3 linked regions of the Kluyveromyces lactis genome follow. The protein of the gene in region 1 interacts with the protein of each later gene in a biochemical or structural test. Links are inferred from orthologs where the notes say so. Each region holds a gene or a part of one and is shown in the gene's direction. Other genes may lie near its edges. The genes, in order: BNI5, ELM1 and MYO1.

Region 1 (3,128 bases):
GAGCTCTTTGATTTAAGAATAAACATAATCAATGAATATTGAACTGAACCACTACATCAACGAAACCTACACCATTGAAATCATCGGAGCGGATGTCAATGGTGATCTTCTTTCCTTTCTCGATTCCAATTCGTGTAAGTACATACTCATACATGTCAAGAGTTCGGAAGTGAAAGGCACTTGCTCAGCATTTTCAACTTCACTGATTTGGAAAGTTGCCAACTTCAACACACGATGCCTGGGTATTGGCAAAATTGAGGTAGTTCTGGAATACATAGCCCAGACTGGCATCTTAGATTGAGATCGTGCATGTTCACTGCGTTGCGAATCTCTTCTGTCATTATCTCTCTCTTGAGAGGCCCGTGATGACAAATGTGGAACTTGATCATCCAAGATCACCAATTTCAAATCGTTTGCACCAAAGACAGACGTATATCCTGTTGTTCCAATCCATCTGAGATTCAATAAGGAATCAGTAATAGGTTCATAGACTTGACAATCAGTGTTCCTTCGTCCAATGCTATTCATCATCAAAACTGAGCATCTGATCCCATCAGGTTGGAAGCACACGAATTTATGGTATACAATCCCTTCACTATTGATAACGTTCCGGAAAACGTTACAAAATTCAACTTTGAAAAGAGACCTTTTCTCGTTTTGATGAAGAAGCTCTTTATTGGGCTCCTTGATATCATCGACTTTATCGTTATCAACCACCTTGTATTTGTAAATTTTGGACACTGGGGTGCTTTTCCTGAAATATGATTTGAACCCTACAGAAACGTAATGAAATAATGGCCACCCTTTACCGGAATCTAAGCATTTATCAAGTTTCCTACGGTTGGAAATAAATGTATCAAACGTGTCTTGATTTTCCCACGCAAAAAAACCCTTAGAAAGCATAACTGAAGCAAATATAACGGTTCTATTACTGGCAAATCGAGGGCTTCGATTCACAAAACCCAGCCGTTCGAAATCTCCAATGGTACTTGATTCAGAAAACACAGATTCCATTTCCCCTGGTGTAGAATGCGGGAAAGACATTAACGTGTTCTGATCATCTGCGTTAGATCTAGAATCCTGATTGTTTTGGCCATATCTCGATCGAAATCTATTCATAACGGTGTTTTCTAGTCATGCAATGACTCTTCTCTGGAAGATCTATACTCAGTAAAATTGAAACAAAAAGAAAAACCTTTCCACTCACTTTTAATAGGTATATCTGCCAGCAATTATATATTTATACGGCAATCCTGAAGTACCTTGAATACCACCTTCAAGATACCAATATAGTACCCAAAAAATGTGTCAAGTTGAAGAGAAGAAGGAGAAATATGCAGGTTTCCTTAAAATTGGGATCTAAGTCTCTTTTCTTATTTACATATAAACTGCCATACTGTGAAAAAATTCAAAAACTAAACAATATAAACAAAGGAAAAAGGAAACTTCCAGTCACCAATACGTGTATGTGTTAATAAAAGGCGTTTGTACTAGTAGTTGACGAGTTGAAGCGTATCAGTGGCAGAATAAAAGTGTCACATTGTTGATAGTGGCGTCCTATTTTTTTCAATTATGGATTCAGAGCAGGTAAAGAAACGAATGTCTCAAATTGAGTTAGAGATAAGTGAGATGAACGAGATGATAGATAAGAACTTGAGCATTCATGAGACCACGGTTAAGACGAAACAGGATGTTTCTTCTGACGATCAAGATGAGGATTACTTAGAGTTGCAGAAGCTAACGGCGAACCAGGTTGATCAATTTGTGCAGAATGCTATTAAAAGCGATGGGGAGGACGAGGTACCGGAAACACTAAGTAGTGGCAGAGAGACGGCACTACAAGCGGAAGAGCGAGAAGACATAAAAGAGGAGAAACCAGGTACTCAATTAGAGGCAGCAGTAGTGGCAGAAGTGGTGGCAGAAGTACAAACTGAACCAACTGCTGAGAAAGCTATTCCCGCTGTTTCCGTAACCTCTGTTCCAGCGAAGAGAATACCTTCTGAGAAGATCGAAGTCTCCACCAGCACAGAAGAGGATGAAGCAGCAGCAGCAGCTACGATTGTACCTAACACTGATAAATCAAGTACATACCCTGCTCCTGCAGCAATCGGCCATACTCAGAACGGAACCGTCCCTCGTGCACCAAACACTGACTCAAGCAACATACCTACTTCACCACGTATACTCACGCCGAAGAGCAACCCGTTCCGCGTAGTACATGTTGGTAGCCAACCAAGCTCCCGTAACGCATCGAGAAACAGCTCTAGGGTCTCAAGCACTTCCTCAGATATTTCAGACATAAACTTTGAACAATTACAGCAAAATTACAACTCACTCTCGGTCAAATGTACCAAACTACAAAAAGAAATCGATTACCTCCACAAATTTAAAAACGAAAGTACCTTAACGCTCGAAGACAGACGCAAACTGATCACTGCCATCGAAAAATTGCAAGAATACCTCGACAAGAAAAACAAACAACGTTACGATACAGGTGTAATATTATCCCGTCAAATAAGGAAAAACGTAGATATGGGGGCCAATGGCCAATTTTGGGTAGGAAGGTCGTAACCTGGAAATCTCGTACTACATACATACATACGTTCATTCGTGTCTATATAAATGTGTGTGTATTTCTATGCATCCTTTAAGTATTACCCTACCGTGTATTTCCAAAAGAAATTCTTCTGACCTTAGTAAGAAATTTGAATTGACAAGCTCATCATAGGAATCAGAAGCTTTGACTGAAACATACTGTCTCGGATACGAGAGTTATCCTCCGATAGTCGAGTCAGTGAGTGCGTTTGTGGCCCCAATAGTTTAAGAGTAAGTGTCAAGATGTCCCGTGAAGGTTTCCAAATCCCAACGAATTTAGATGCTGCTGCTGCTGGTGCAGCTCAGAGCAGAACTGCCACTTTGAAATACATCTGCGCAGAGTGTTCAAGCAGACTTTCGCTTTCCAGAACTGATCCCGTCCGTTGCAAGAATTGCGGTCACCGTATCCTACTCAAGGCCAGAACCAAGAGAATGGTCCAGTTCGAAGCCAGGTAAACCTGTTCCCATTCCATCACATAAACTATATGCATATAAACTATATATGTATTACAGCATCTTTCCTGTATGTACAT
Region 2 (3,510 bases), on another chromosome or scaffold:
GTAATCCTATTTCCTCTAACCAAAACCAAAGTAGTAATTCTCAAGTTCAGCAAGATAACAATTCGGAGTTGTTTGACTTAATGAGTTTCAAAAATAAGGGAAGACAACATCTGCAACAGCAACTGCAACAACAGCAACAACAGGCTCAGCTGCAATCACAAATGCACCGCCAACAGATACAACAGCGCCAGCAGCACCAGCAGCAACAGTCACAGCAACGCCATAGTGCGTTTAAGATTGATAACGAGCTCACTCAACTATTGAATGCTTATAATATGACACAATCCAACCTGCCTAGCAACGGCAGTAACATAAACACTAACAAGTTAAGGACTGGTTCCTTTACACAATCGAATGTCAAGAGAAGCAATTCATCAAATCAGGAAGCACATAATAGAGTTGGTAAGCAACGATATTCAATGTCACTTTTGGATGGTAACCAAGATGTTATATCGAAGCTATATGGAGACATGACGCGCAATGGACTTTCTTGGGAAAATGCTATAATATCCGATGATGAAGAAGATCCAGAAGATCATGAAGATGCTTTAAGGCTCAGAAGAAAATCTGCATTGAATAGGTCAACCCAAGTTGCATCACAGAATCCTACGGAAACTTCATCAAGTGGACGATTTATTTCTCCACAATTGTTGAACAACGATCCACTACTAGAGACTCAAATTTCCACGAGCCAAACTTCGTTAGGCCTTGATAGAGCTGGTTTGAATTTTAAACTCAATTTACCCATTACAAACCCTGAAGCCCTTATTGGATCAAGCCAACCTGATGTCCAAACTCTTAATGTTTACTCTGAATCAAATGTTCTCCCCACAAGTGCACAGTCGACAACCACGAAGAAGAAACGGTCCAGCATGTCCAAATCAAAGGGCCCTAAATCTACCTCTCCGATGGATGAAGAAGAAAAGCCTTTCAAATGTGATCAATGTAATAAGACCTTCCGCCGTAGCGAACACTTGAAAAGACATGTACGTTCTGTTCACTCGACGGAAAGACCTTTCCACTGTCAGTTTTGTGATAAGAAGTTCAGTAGAAGCGACAATTTATCACAGCATTTAAAGACACACAAGAAGCACGGCGATATAACTGAGCTACCCCCACCGAGAAGAGTCACGAATTCTTCAAACAAGCACTGAAATAATCTACGATATTTCAGATGTGACATTGGAAATGAGATACAATAGACATTTGATAATTGGAAATGAATCATTTCACAGTTAGTTATGAATTCTCAACTTTTTTAATAGTCCTTTATATTTTTATAAGGAAGTTCATTTATATACACCCCGGATAATCCGATATGGTCTAATATATGCGCTCACATGGATCCTTTAATAAAATGTGGTGTACACGTTCACTTATCACCAAATGTCGTCTGCATATGTGTATTCCCTTTCTTTGGCATATTTCTTCCATTGAATTTTCAAAAAGCCTGTTTTCATGTACAGAATAATCATATTCAACGTAAATGCTGCATACACATGAGAAGATAACCATAAAGGATGAAGAACAGCTACAAAACGTTATCTGGCTAGACAAGCAATCAATTTGATATGCAACTACTGTAAGAAATATGAAGAAGTATCCCACGATCATACAGTTTCCGGAGTCAATTAGGATTCAACCTATGAGTACGGACCCGGAATCATACTTTCAAATTATCGATGAGCAACAAAAGAAACTAGAACTTGGCGTTATAAGCAAGACAAAGATAATAGAAAGGTACGTTTCGGCTTCAGATTCAGATTCAGATTCTCAAGAAGAGCACGCACAGAAATTTGTGAACCAGTACCGCATAGGAGAAAGATTGGGTTGTGGACAGTTCGGTACTGTTTACAAAGGTCACACAACAGGAAAAGTTGTAGCTATCAAACAGATCTATAAGAAACCTATGAATTCCCCCTTTTCTATGAGCCTAATAATGAAAACAATGAAGAGGTACGAATCCATATCTGGTGATGTACTTATCATGGAAATGAACGTGAGTAAAATACGATGGGAATGTTTCGTTACGAGTAAACTAAATCACCCTAACGTAATTCAATTATTAGAATGTTTGGACTCTCCTTATTCTGACCAAATATGGCTTATCCAACCCCTCGCAGTCCTTGGCGAGTTACAATGGTCTAGAGAAAGTAAGTTTGATCTGATAGAGCAATGGAAGTCATTCTACCGGGGTCAACTTGATTCAGTAGAGGAGTTCGCAGTGAAAGTGTTAGGAGATATATCAAATGGTTTACAGTACTTACAAGGACAAGGCATTATTCACAGAGATCTAAAACCGCAGAACATACTATTAGATCCAGTATATCATAGCTTAAGGATCTCAGATTTCGGATGCTCATTAATCGTACCGAGCAAACTCCCGTTCAAAGATGGCAGACTACAGGATTTATTTGAAAAAGAACTGAATAAAATAGTGGGAACACCACTGTTTACAGCTCCTGAGCTTTGTAATTTCGCTGAAGGGTCAGCCCATGCTAGTAATGAGCAGCCTTTCAAAATTGATGTTTGGTCGCTTGGTATTACAGTGTACGCAATTTTATACAATGTATTACCGTTCTGGGGAGAAACTGAGTTTGACACATACAATCTGATCTGTCATCGGCAGTTGAAACCTGACGTTCATAACAGTTCAAATATTTATGGATGGATACATGAATACGTTGTTAACCGTATGCTATCCAAAAATACAGCTTCTAGGCCAACAACATCAAATATTTTGCGTACATTGGAATCTCATTCCAAATCTGAACTATCATCAATGAATAAAATGAAGTTGAAGCTAAATAAATGGAAAAAAAATCTACTCACTAAGAATAAAAATACCGAAATTCTTCCTACACAATCCTTCAAAGAGGATTTTTGTTCGCCTGCCAGTAGTATCAATGCTGCTTCGATCCCTCTTACAGACAAGAAACAACCATTGAATCGATCCCATAGAGCGACAGTTAATTTGGAAAAGTACATTAAATAGGTCAAATTCATAGATTACATAACCTCACGCACTCTCCGGCATTCACAAATAGATAAACCCTTAACTTTGACCTGCTGTACAGGGAACGCAACGGGATTCATGCTGTCCTTTTCTAACCTTGAATTAATGTCTTTTTCGCTAAGGTTTCATTTTGTTTACAATTGAAAACCCTACTATTTACGTTTCGCAAAATGGCATTATTAGGAAAAAAAAGTTTCTGTTTTTGTTTCACTCTGTGCGGTGATAAACCTCAAGATCTGGAGGTTTTAAATAGAATTGATCAAAAAGTCAAAAAGACATTAGCGCCTGTCGTATTCCTGTGATCAGCGCTAGTCATCGACTGGTAAACTGAAAGAAGGCTACTCATTAATTTTACTGATTTTGTCTCAATAGAAACTATTTGCGTAGACTTTTCTTCAGTCCGCTTGTGAGGTTCTAATCACCAGATTTAATTACCGACTTAAAGACCCACCTTTCTCAACATTGAACCGGGCATACCCAGAAGTTGAACTATC
Region 3 (3,410 bases), on another chromosome or scaffold:
AACTTAAGAATAAGTTGGATGTTGTAAAGAATGACGAGCGTGCTTTAGACTCCGAAAAAGATAAATTAATTAGGGAAATTAGTGATTTGAAGAAAGAGATTCAAGAGAAGACGATGTCTTTGAAGGACATGGAAGCCAAGGTTAACGATTCCGAAATAGCCATTGATGTAAAGTTAAAGTCTTTGGAAAAGCATCTTGCTGCTACAAGTAACAGAATGAAGGGATTTTTTGAAGAGAATACTCAACTTGCTGCTCAGGTCAAGTCTTTAAAAAATGATATTGCTACAAAAAACAGCCTATTTGAGAATAAATCTGCTGAGCTCAACCGGGTTAATGTTAAAGTTTCGGAACAGGAATCAATGGTAAATTCATTATCCAAAGAAAAAGAATCACTATTAATTCAAGTATTATCGTTATCAAAGGAATTAAAGGCAGTGAGACAAGAAAATGACTCTAATAAATGTAAATTGGAGTCCATCAATGAAGAATACTCAAAATTGTTAGCGGCAAAACAAGAAAATGGATCTTCTAATGGCAACCATGAACTAAACAAATTGAAGACAGAGTTACTACAAGAACAGTCAATGAATAAATTCCTCAATGAGCGTCTGCTGTCTGTTGGCAGATCTGGTAAAGCTGTCAATGGATTTTCGTCTTCTGTAGGTACAGACGATCTACGGAGAGAATTTGATGAACTTTCCATGAAATATAAAGATGTTGAAATGAGATTGACCAGTGAAATTGAGGAAAAGAAGAATTTGATTTCTCGTTTGAGATTTGCAGAAACTCGTTTAGCTTCTGCTTCCTTTGACAATCAAACTTTGACTGCTCAATTGAAGAAGATCAAACAACTTTCAAAGTCTACTTTATCTGAAGTGAACTTAGACGAGGAACTTGAAAATATTGATAAGTTTGAACTAAACCAAGAGAAAATGCTTCTGGAAATCGACTTCTTAAAAAGACAGCTCACAAAGGAAATGAACGCTAGAAAAAATGCTGAAAGGGTCGCAAGTGCGCTTCATCAAAAGGTTGGACAAATACAACGATCTGATTCTTCTGCTGATATCTTTAAACTGCGATATGAGGCAAACGAAGATTACGTTAAATCTCTGGAGATGAGACAAAACAGCTCTCCGTTTAGGGACAAGACGAACATCATTAATGGTGATATTTTCAAACACCGCGAATCCTTCGAGAAATACGAAGAAGAACTACAGCGTCATAGAGTAGAGTCTAATAGGCTTCACAGTTCTCTGGTAGAATATCAAAACAAGCTGCACGACCTGACGTTAGATTACAATAAGAGTTTGGTAACGGAAGCTTCGTTGAGAGAACAAATAGCTCAGTTAGATGATGAACTGAAAACAGTAGAACAACAGAAAAATATGATTCAATCTAACTCTAAGCGTTATCAGACGCAATACGAAGGGTCGCAAAGAGATTTGGTTACTGTAGAAAGTGAAGTCAGAGCTGTCAAGCATGGTTTAAAGCAAGCAGAAAAAGATATCGAGAGTATGACGCAAATGATTCAAAAGCTCAGATCTCAGAACAAACAGAAAGAACAAGAGATCTGGCAGCAGGAAACAAAAATTACTGAACTTGAATCTCAACTTGACGAGAAAACGATCGAACTTGATAAATCAATATCTAAAAGCAAAGCACTAGAGGAAGATATAACACATTACAAGGAAAGGGCAAGAGCCGTAGAAAATAATAAAGAATACTTAGTGGAAATTGATTGTTTAAAAGGCAAGTTAGATGGTTATTTGAGATTAGAAACTGAAATGAAAAAGGAAATGTCAAGTCTCGGTTATCAACTGGAGACTTTGAAACTCGATTCGGAGGCAAAAATCCAAGATTTATTGAAACAGACCAATCACTATGAGCGTCTTGTGACAGAACTTGGGATTCAAAAAGATGAAGCTGAAGCTGCCAAGAAGACACTTGAAACAACTATCAAAACTCTGCAGGTGAAAAATTTGAGTTTAGAAGAGACCACACAATCCCTATCAGCTGAAAACAAACAACTCCAAGAAGAACGTACATTTTTGAGGTCTAAACTCGATGAAGCAAATGGGAACTTTTCCCAGTCTTTAAAAGAAAAGGAAAAGTATTCGCACGATGTTCAATTCTTGGAGGAATCTTTAGCTTTGCAAAAACAACAAGCAGAACGTAATGAAGAACTCATAGATCAATTGCAAACAGAATTGGATACGATAAAAACAACATTTTCTTCGGAAAAAGATAAGAATGCAAATCTATTCCAAGAAAATGCTTCTCTAGCAAAAGCCAATGAGATTTTGAGGAACGATCTTTTGGATGCGAAGAATAAACTAGCTGACACTTCTGAGAATGACGCATGGTTCAATAAAGTTCAAACTCTAACAACTACTCTAGAAGAAGAACGTACTTCCAAGTTCGAGGAAATCAAGAAGTCCAAGAAACTTGAGAGAATAATTGAAGAGTTAGAGAGGAAGAATGAAGAACAAGCCAATGTAATCGAGATAGCCAACGATGCTAAATCACAATACGAGGAAACTATTGGTAATCTCGATGAAAAATTGGGAGAAATAGAGGCCATCAATGCTACTAAGGATGCAACACTGAATAAAATGCATAGAGATAACACTTACTATCAAGAACAGATATCTGAACTTGAGAAGGAAATATCATCCTGGAAGCAAAGATACGAGAAACTTTCTGAAAGAAGACAATCCTTAGCTCAATCTACAGATGGTGTCTTCATTTAAATGTTATAGAAACATAGTTTTTCATTGATTTCGTGTGCACAGCATTGAACTGTTGATATTTTTGTTGTCCTTTATGTTAGCTATTTACATATCTTTATTTGATGTTATAATAATAATTAATGAATGCTGAATTGAGAATTAAAACCAACCCTGTTTCTTCATCTTTGGTACGTCTAGTTTTGGGTAGTTACCTAGACCATAGAATCTTAATACTGTTTCAATATCACCAAAGGATTCTCTTTCACCTTGCATTACAACCGTCACCTTCCCGTTACCATTACCAGGATTATTGACTTTGCCTGTGAAAACCGTTTCAGCAACACGTTTAATGTCATCGACGGTAAGCTTTTCGATATTTTCCATCATTTCTTTCATTGGTATCTTACGACCATGCAATAACACTTGTCTTCCCAAATCTTCAAGTTCTACGATTTTAGATTCTAGATTCATCAACAAAGATGATTTTAGTTGGTTCTTTGATCTTGACACTTCTTCCTTCGTCAACTTCAGTTTGTCGTTGGCAAACACATTCGATAAAGTTTGTGCAATAATTTCGGCAGCGAATGGAGCAGCTTGTGGTATACACGAAATAGATACACCGAATAGACCTGAATCGCTGTAGGAATGGTTGAATGAAACACAATTTTCCACGTAATAGTA

The links.
Region 2: of the proteins of BNI5 (region 1) and ELM1, one has a biochemical effect on the other in vitro, tested with the Saccharomyces cerevisiae proteins (2 studies listed by BioGRID, with this or other methods). The link is inferred for Kluyveromyces lactis from reciprocal best matches to the Saccharomyces cerevisiae genes BNI5 and ELM1.
Region 3: the proteins of BNI5 (region 1) and MYO1 form a complex in vitro, tested with the Saccharomyces cerevisiae proteins (2 studies listed by BioGRID). The link is inferred for Kluyveromyces lactis from reciprocal best matches to the Saccharomyces cerevisiae genes BNI5 and MYO1.

The regions. Positions count from the first base shown.
Region 1 is NC_006040.1:682,160-685,287, forward strand, and holds BNI5 (Bni5p), read left to right. Parts: upstream 1-1,572; coding exon 1,573-2,571; downstream 2,572-3,128. Other genes in the region: KLLA0_D07964g (uncharacterized protein), read right to left, coding at 67-1,119; DNA-directed RNA polymerase core subunit RPC10, read left to right, coding at 2,839-3,051. UniProt on the Saccharomyces cerevisiae protein: Required for normal septin function and cytokinesis. Its recruitment to the bud neck by CDCd11 and SHS1 ensures efficient localization at the bud neck of MYO1, the type II myosin of the actomyosin contractile ring.
Region 2 is NC_006042.1:2,487,735-2,491,244, forward strand, and holds ELM1 (serine/threonine protein kinase ELM1), read left to right. Parts: upstream 1-1,591; coding exon 1,592-2,995; downstream 2,996-3,510. Other genes in the region: KLLA0_F26961g (C2H2-type zinc finger protein), read left to right, coding at 1-1,154. UniProt on the Saccharomyces cerevisiae protein: Important role in G1 events required for bud emergence and septin organization. Coordinates cell growth and cell division at G2/M, essential for efficient cytokinesis and for regulation of SWE1.
Region 3 is NC_006041.1:1,018,312-1,021,721, reverse strand, and holds the end of MYO1 (myosin 1), read left to right. Parts: coding exon 1-2,750; downstream 2,751-3,410. Other genes in the region: MAS2 (mitochondrial-processing protease subunit alpha), read right to left, coding at 2,889-3,410. UniProt on the Saccharomyces cerevisiae protein: Required for cell division.